Linked DNA regions of Drosophila melanogaster. The protein of the gene in region 2 interacts with the protein of the main gene of each other region in a pairwise test. Each region holds a gene or a part of one and is shown on either strand. Other genes may lie near its edges.

Region 1 (3,928 bases), 6.9 Mb from region 2:
TTCAAATTCGATCCACTTAGTTCATCAATTTTATGGGTTCAAATCTGACAGACGAGAAGATCAAAGATTATTTGGCAAAGTGCCGGCATGAAGACGCTCGCAGTTCAACTCCGCCGGGATTCTGGAATCCACACATGGTTTCCTTCGCAGAAGGCGATCCACGCAACGAAGTGTTGATAGACACTCGGTTTTGGGACCAGAGATAAAACAAATGACATTTAGGCAATCAATTTACAAATAGTTTTTCAGTTTAGACCATTTCATTTATTATTGATTTTGTTAGTTCTCAATTTGATCACATTTGATTCACAAGTTTCCTCGCTTGGCTTGTTCAATTTCAATGGCCGTGAACAAGGACTTAAAGTTGCCAGCGCCAAATCCCTGAAATAGTAATGATCATGATTTACTTGTTCTTAGCAACAGTAGGTTAAGCAATAAATCTTACATTGTGATTGTAGCGTTGGATAACTTCCAGGAAGAGGGTCGGTCTATCCTGGCAGTTCTTTGTGAAGATCTGCAGCAGATATCCGTTCTCGTCGAAGTCAATCAAAATGTTCAACTTCTTCAAGACCTCCATGTCCTCCTTGATCTTGGTGCGGCTGTGCGAGAGCTGCTCCTGAAGGATCTCGTAGTACGAGGATGGGATGGTCAGGAACTCGGTTCCTCGAGCCTTTAGGTTGCTCACCGCCTCGATAATGTCATCCGTATTAAGAGCAATGTGCTGGACACCACCGCCGCCGTAGTACTCCACGTACTCCTGGATCTGTGACTTCTTTTTCCCATTGGCTGGCTCATTGATCGGCATCTTCACCGTCTCCTCGTAGTTTGCCATCACGATGGACCGCAGGGCGGAGTATTCCGTGTGAATCTGCGAGTCATCCACGGACCAGAAGCGGTGGAACTGCAGGATTCTCTCGTACCAGGAGGCCACGCTCTCCATCTGCAGATCCGGCTGGTTGCCCACCACGTGATCAATGAAGTTCAGCTTGGTGGAGGGCAATCCGTTTAGAAGGACATCTTTGGGCGACCGCTGGAATCCAGGCAGGAAATCTCCAGCGTACCCATTGCGCTCCACGAAAGTGTGGGTAGTGTCGCCGTACTGCATTCAAGTTAAGGATTAATCCTTAAATATTCCAGAATGAAATCCACGGACTTACCGTCTTGATGGTAGCGAATCTCACGAATCCCTGATCATCGCTCTCCTCCCAGATGTCGCGGACCACTTCGGCCCCACGGGACACGGCCAGTGTGAAAATGGCATTCAAATCCTCCACTTCGAAGGCTACATCCTTGACACCGTCGCCGTGGCGCATCAGGTGGAGTCCATGCTCCTCGTCATCCGGCGTGTAGGCGGAGACGAACACAAAGACGATCTTGTTCTGGCGGACGGCATGCTTGGCGAAGCGTCGCTCCCCGGTCTCTAATCCCTGATAGCCAAGTGGTTCGAAGCCCAGTCGAGTGGTATAGTAGCTGGCCGCCTGCTTGGCGTTGCCAACGTAGAAGGTTAAGTGATCAAAGCTTAGAAATTTGCCGGCTTCAGGCTGAAAGTAGTGAAGAAAGTAGGTTGGCATTATACGCTCCAATATTGGCATACGCTTTCGAACTTACTTTGGTTCCTTTGTCAGTATAGCTGGTCTGTTGGTAGTTAAAAAGAAATAATAGAAGTCATTAGAATTAGATCACCTTGAAATGGATCCTTAGAAAGTCTGTATAATTATCATTGGTTTATCCGCTTTTGTTAGACAGTATTTGTTATAAATCCTGTTTGAGAACTCTTTAAAGTCCATTTAATTCGCACTAAAGGGCTGTTACATAACCACATAGCCACCACATGTCCCATCGTCTCATTTACCATTATCACTCAGACTCAATTTATGCAAATCCTCTCCTCGCACGCGATATAGATTTCTTCGTTCCGTCGATCTTACACGATCTTCAAATTGATTATGGCCTGAGCTCAGCCAGTCGGAGGCTTTTTATAGGGCGCTCAGGTAGGTGGATCAGGTGAAAATCCTGTACTAATTTAAATATAAGCCAAACTAGTATTTTGTTTATTTCGAATGCCATATTATCGGAATATCTTAGCTAGCTGGTTATTGATCGCATATTTAAGCTAAACCTGCATGGATTTGTTTACTAGAACAGGTGGATTACTTAATTAATGCAATCTCGAGCGGAATGAATTGCAATATTGTAATGCGGGTCGGGCCTCCAATCTGTTTACTTCGTATCTGAGCGGCGCTTTGCAAGTTCTGCGTTCGAAATTTCACTTCCTTAAGCTCGTTACATGAAGATACAGATAACTATGTGTTCGTTATGCAAAAGTTCGGCCCATGTCAGAATTCAGCTAAATATTCATGAAGTCAAGTCTAGTGAGTTCGAAAATCGGTTGCCAAGTCGTACTAAACTTGATTCCAGTTTCGAGCCCCCAAAAACGCAAACAATGGGCCAACTGAGTGTTAATGCTATCTGAATTGTTATTGTTATTGCCATTGTTACACAGTGCATAATGTGGGGCGTTATTGAAGTTGTTTTGCATTAGAACCGCTTTGCAAGGTTCTCAAAACAAATGTACAAAAACTGGTTAACAAATCTGTTTGTTGTTACGATCTAATAAAGCGGCACACGCTAGTCACAAATCATCTAAATTGATGATTGCCTTTATCGGTTTTTAATTGCGGGGATAATAGCTCTAAGAGGATTGGAAAAGGATTTCAAATCATTAGCTTGATGGTTATTTTCTTTATTTGAAAGCGCATAATTCAGTTGTATTTAAATATAGCAAGACTGGTTTTGGGAACTGGATTAGTTATTTAAGCAAGTTCTATTATTTTTATAGGTATTTAGGAATATCTTGCTTATAGATGAATGAGCGTTTTAGTGATCGTTATTCTTTAGTTTAAAGTTAGACAACATCACTATAAATGATACAGATAATATAGATATAGATTTAAATGTAATTCAACAAGCAGCCAATATGTTGAGATTATAAGATCATAATTGTTAAACGGCGTTTATTTCTATCATAGTAATAAAAAAAAGTTTATCTTGTGCTTGCTTTAAAGATCTTTTGATCGAGATATTGCCCCTGTGCTTTTTTTTGGGATAGGGCAGTTCTCTTAATCATTTTGACTGACGATTCGTGTCAGGTGTTTGGCAACATGCGACAAGCCCATAAATTAATAGTTTTTGCCGCTCAGCCACATGCTATGTTCCCTGCACACATGGCGTATGAGCAATTCAGGCAGCTAAGCATTAATGATTAGCCCTAGACAAAGTCTCCCCCAGCTGCTAATGATGAACTGACAGTCCGATGGAAGTGGTGAGGTGGGGATGGGATGGAATAGGTTGGGAAAGAGTGGGCGATGGTCGATTGGTCATTGGCAAGAAGCCAAATCAATGCTTGACATTTATTATGATTGGCTTATTAGGGCGCTGCATAGGCGACAATCTGGCAAAAGTGGTAGGAGTTGGAAGTGGCCCTTGTCGCCAAATTGCTCCAGATGGTATTGTAGCTATTAAACCATATGACTGAAAAGGTTCTTCTATAACAAACCCATTAAATTCCTAGGCGTATTAATAAAGAACATTCTATTCACATTCATGCAAAGTAATGCATCTGAAAATACACAATTGGGGCAACTTTCTAATTTCAAATCCTCCCAAGCCCTTTCACAACATTGATTCCATTATCGCCCTCATAAACTGCGAGGTTTTCTATTTGTTTACTTTACACCTGGCGCTCCTTGGGTTCCATTAGTCAAAGAATCCCGACGCACTCCCTCGGACCTATCCCAATAAAAATCCCAACCGCTCAGATTTGCCATTAGCTGAGCAAACTTTTGTCCTTGGCGAAATGGGAACGGTACCTGGCTGAGCTCGGGTTGGCTTCGGGTTTGATGTGGGTAGCCTGTTGCTCTATAAGGAT
Region 2 (3,928 bases):
GTGTGAACTTGAGGCAAGGCCAGACAAAAGACTTGGTCTATAGAATTCGCAAATGACATGGTTGTTCACTTGCTTCAAGCCACGTTAACAAAGCGCGCGTGGGCGATTGAAGTGGCAGTTATGGCCATAAATACAAATATGTTCGTTCGCGCAAGCAGATATTGACTGTCAGTGTCGCTCGATAAACATGCTAGCAGATAGCAGTGGGAAAAACACCAGCAGCAGCTGCTGCAGACTCGCAACTGCCGAATAGATGTGCAATACTCAAGAGCTCCACTCCGCTCTGCATCCGTAGGTTGGACTCCGCCGCCGCTGGCCGATCTGATGGTGATGTAAGCTCCGGTTCTGGGTTGCCAATTACCGCCGACTGCCGTCTAACCGCCGTCTAACCAACTGTAGAATGTAAAGCTTCTGCAGGTCGCGAAAAACTCGCCCACCCACTGCCAGCGGTACAGCGTCATCATCATCGACTGCACAGTGATCTCTGCGAAGTTCGATCTTGCACGCGATGCGAAACGGTCGAGAAAAGATTCTTTCCAGCTAAAAGCGGGTAGGTATTATTATTATTATGATTGAGTGATCTGTTCAATAAGGGGTCTAATCGTCTTGGGACTGCCAAATGAGTAACTTGAAGAACGCTGCCCCTTAAGGCGTCTATTCGCATTTGGATAGTGACTTGTGCATTGTGCTTTGCATTCTGATGATCCGAGTTTCGTCGGTTTTCTTCCCTTATTTTGCGCAGTGGAGAAAGTAATTAGTGATCGGACCATGACCGAATATCACTGAGTTACTAGCATTCAGTTTGCAAATCATGACATAAACAATTTATTTTAAATAAACCAAACGCAAACCACCCACCCACAGTGCCGTCATACTTATCTGTATGTAATAATCCCATTTAATAATTAATATAAAAAACCATACCGTGTCATTTCACATCAATCATGTTTAGAACTTGAATGTGAGTGTGATGAGACAATTGTCTGTACTTTATTATAAATTACGTTTGTTTTCAATACTTTTTGAAGGCTTAATATTAAACATATATTCCAGTTTTTGGTGTTAAAAAAAGATTTTACAATTTTTTTTGCTTTGCTTTTCCATTAAATTAATTTAATTTTATCAGGGTGATTTTCTTTTTTATTTTAATTACTCTCACGAAATGCCAATCTCAGCATTATTTTATTTCTTACTCTAATTTCTCTCTGTGCACCCACTCCAGTTAGAAACGGAGTTGACCTACTTTGCCATGTGCGCTGCCCAAAATAGAGGATCCGCCTCGATCCGTTGTCTATTTCGGGAGGTGTTTTTCATTTCACTTATTTTCCTTTCACTACCTTACCCGAAAAATCATAATCCGAAAGAGGCGCAGGCGATTCTTAGTTGCCCTAACCCGAAGTAGCCAGGTGCTATAAATAAAATGCGATCGCGCATATACGCGTAGCTGCTAGGAAAGAGAGCTATAAAAAACAAGGGGTTGCTGATCGAACTGGGGATACCCTCGTTAGTCCACTACCTCTGCTCGGCTGCGGGAGAAGCTGAAACGAAAGCAATTTGTTTTCACCCTGATCCGTTGATACAATAAACAAGTTGGCGCACAGGCAGCCCATGAATGAAAAACAGCGAAAAATAAAATTCGTTTTTTTTTTGGGCAGAATTTCTTGCTTCATTTTGGCTGCCGCATTCTGCGTAGCGTTGTGGACCTGGCCGAGTGGTGAGGGGTCTTCTATATGGCCGGCAACAAGTTGGATTTTTCTAAAAATGAACACACACGAAATAGCTTCGTCTTTGGCGTTAAATACGGACCACGACAACCATCGGTGTCGAGCAGCGACAACGCATCTCCGCATCTTCGAAGAGCGGCGGAATTTGATTTGATTTTCACTTGCCCGACCGTCCGCGCTATTTTCCTATTTCCCTCTATTGTGTGTGGGGCGTGCTCTCCGCGGCGGTCCATCTAAGGAGCATATTCCGAAGAAGCGATGCTTTCCGCGACTCGGCTTTCCCGCAACTAGTTGCGTTTTGGATGTCAACACGATGTGCACGCGCACAGCGTCGATTCCCGTCGACCAACTGCCACTGGCAGCGTGAAGTGAACTGTGGACCGTGGCGATTTGAAGGTGATCTCAATCACCCGGCATTACTAGGACAGCTTGAGCCAAGACTGAACCGGCGAGGGAACCGGAACAGAAGATATTCATTTTTCCAGGGCACCTTAAACGTACAAACGATAGAATAGCAAGGTAAATATGATAGTTCTCGATTAGTAATCGTTATTCTATGTATGTGGATACAGCAAATACCCTTCGCCATCCATTCAGGCCGGGCCTTTAGACCTTTTATGGGCATGCTTTTCGCCCAGGGAATCGAATTTCATGCACAAAAACAACATTTCGGTTTCGGGGCAAAAATCGTTGTGCGTTTGTGTGTGTTTCGCCTGAGAGAGCGCCACTTGCCAGTTCCTCTTGGACATTTAAATAGAATTCCCGTGCTGGCCACCGATCGAGAGAGAAACAGAGATTGAGCACCCTCCTCCTCCTCCTGCGTCTCCGTGAATGTGTTCCTCTGCCGGCGAGCATCAAAATAACAACACAACGTGTTTTTCGTGTCTCTCACATCGCGTATACGCAACGTATACCACCATTTCATATTTACTTTTAACTTACTACGGTTAAAATTACAGCTTAGTTTAGATGTGTTTTCCATAGTATTTTCCGGTAAGCGTTTGGAACATTACACTATTTCCTTTTATTACCGTCTATGCCAGTCAATGGTTCGTATACGCAATGTGTTGTCTAGTTTGAATTTCGAAACTGTATGAAAACAAGTCTTTGTAATAAGTGATGTAAATATGAAAAGTTTTATATTAATTTAAAAGCATATAAATTGGAAGATTATATAAATAATAATAAAACTATCTTTCTCTTACTTTTTTTTAGCCGAAATCAAGATCAGCATGCAAGAACTTACTAGGATCTGCGATCTTAACGGAAACGCAGACAAGGGAGAGTTGGGTCCGGCTACCAACAATCTGGACCAGCTCCTACCCAGCATAAAGCTGGAGCACGATCCCGACTTGGAGTGCTGGCTGCCCACGCCCGAGCACCCACAACTCCGTCTGGATCTGAACAGCACCCGTCTGCTGCTGCAGGGCTCCGACGACCCATTGATCTCGCATGGCGCCACCAACGATGCCCACGACGAAGACCATCCCTTCAAGACGCTACTGGCCCGCAAAAGTGCCGGCCACGAAACCCCACACAATGGCACCTGCAGTCCACTGACCAAGCAGCAGCTGAAGGCCAATCTGCTGATGGGCAGCCGGAAGGCGAACCGACAGCCAGCGCAGGAGCAGCCACACACTGCTCTACCACAAAAGACAGTTAGGCCAGTGCACAGCCAGGGTCAACAGCGATCACGTAAGCGAGGCGATGCGGGAGCCATGAAGCTTCGCTTTCACCACCAAGCTCTGCCCGCCGAGTATGCCGCCCATTACGAGGCCACGCAGGGTCGCCAGCAACCAAGACCAGTGCTACCACCGCCAGCTCCTCCGCCGAGTCAGGCTCACGAGAATGTACGCAGTTGGCTGCGGAAGATTGCCGAGATCCAGCGCAATGCCGAACGCCAGCAACAAAAGCAGTCTGCCGCTCCTCGAGTTGGAGCACCAACTTCGCGATCTTCACCCATCGCAGCGACGTCCGTGGTACCAACAAAAAATTCCGAGGTAACAACTGCCTCCAAGCGGAACTCCCTAAAATACGCAGACCTGCCGTACATGGGTGAGATTACGCTGGACAACTACAAGCCACGTCGTGGTCGGAAGCCCAAGAAGGCGGATATTTGTCACCTGATCTACAAGAACTACGGCACCATTGTCCCGGCATCTGTGCCCGCGATGCCGGTCAGTGCTGCTCCGCCGCCGTCTACC

The links.
Region 1: the proteins of CG10710 (region 2) and Hpd interact in a two-hybrid assay, tested with the Drosophila melanogaster proteins (one large-scale study listed by BioGRID).

The regions. Positions count from the first base shown.
Region 1 is NT_037436.4:20,437,920-20,441,847, forward strand, and holds Hpd (4-hydroxyphenylpyruvate dioxygenase), read right to left. Parts: upstream 1,954-3,928; 5' UTR 1,856-1,953; coding exon 1,853-1,855; exon of another isoform or gene 1,636-1,852; coding exon 1,609-1,635; intron 1,542-1,608; coding exon 1,158-1,541; intron 1,100-1,157; coding exon 446-1,099; exon of another isoform or gene 382-445; coding exon 307-381; 3' UTR 247-306; downstream 1-246. Other genes in the region: CtIP (CTBP-interacting protein), read left to right, coding at 21-206.
Region 2 is NT_037436.4:13,517,687-13,521,614, reverse strand, and holds the start of CG10710 (uncharacterized protein), read left to right. Parts: upstream 1-2,009; 5' UTR 2,010-2,243; intron 2,244-2,939; 5' UTR 2,940-2,956; coding exon 2,957-3,928.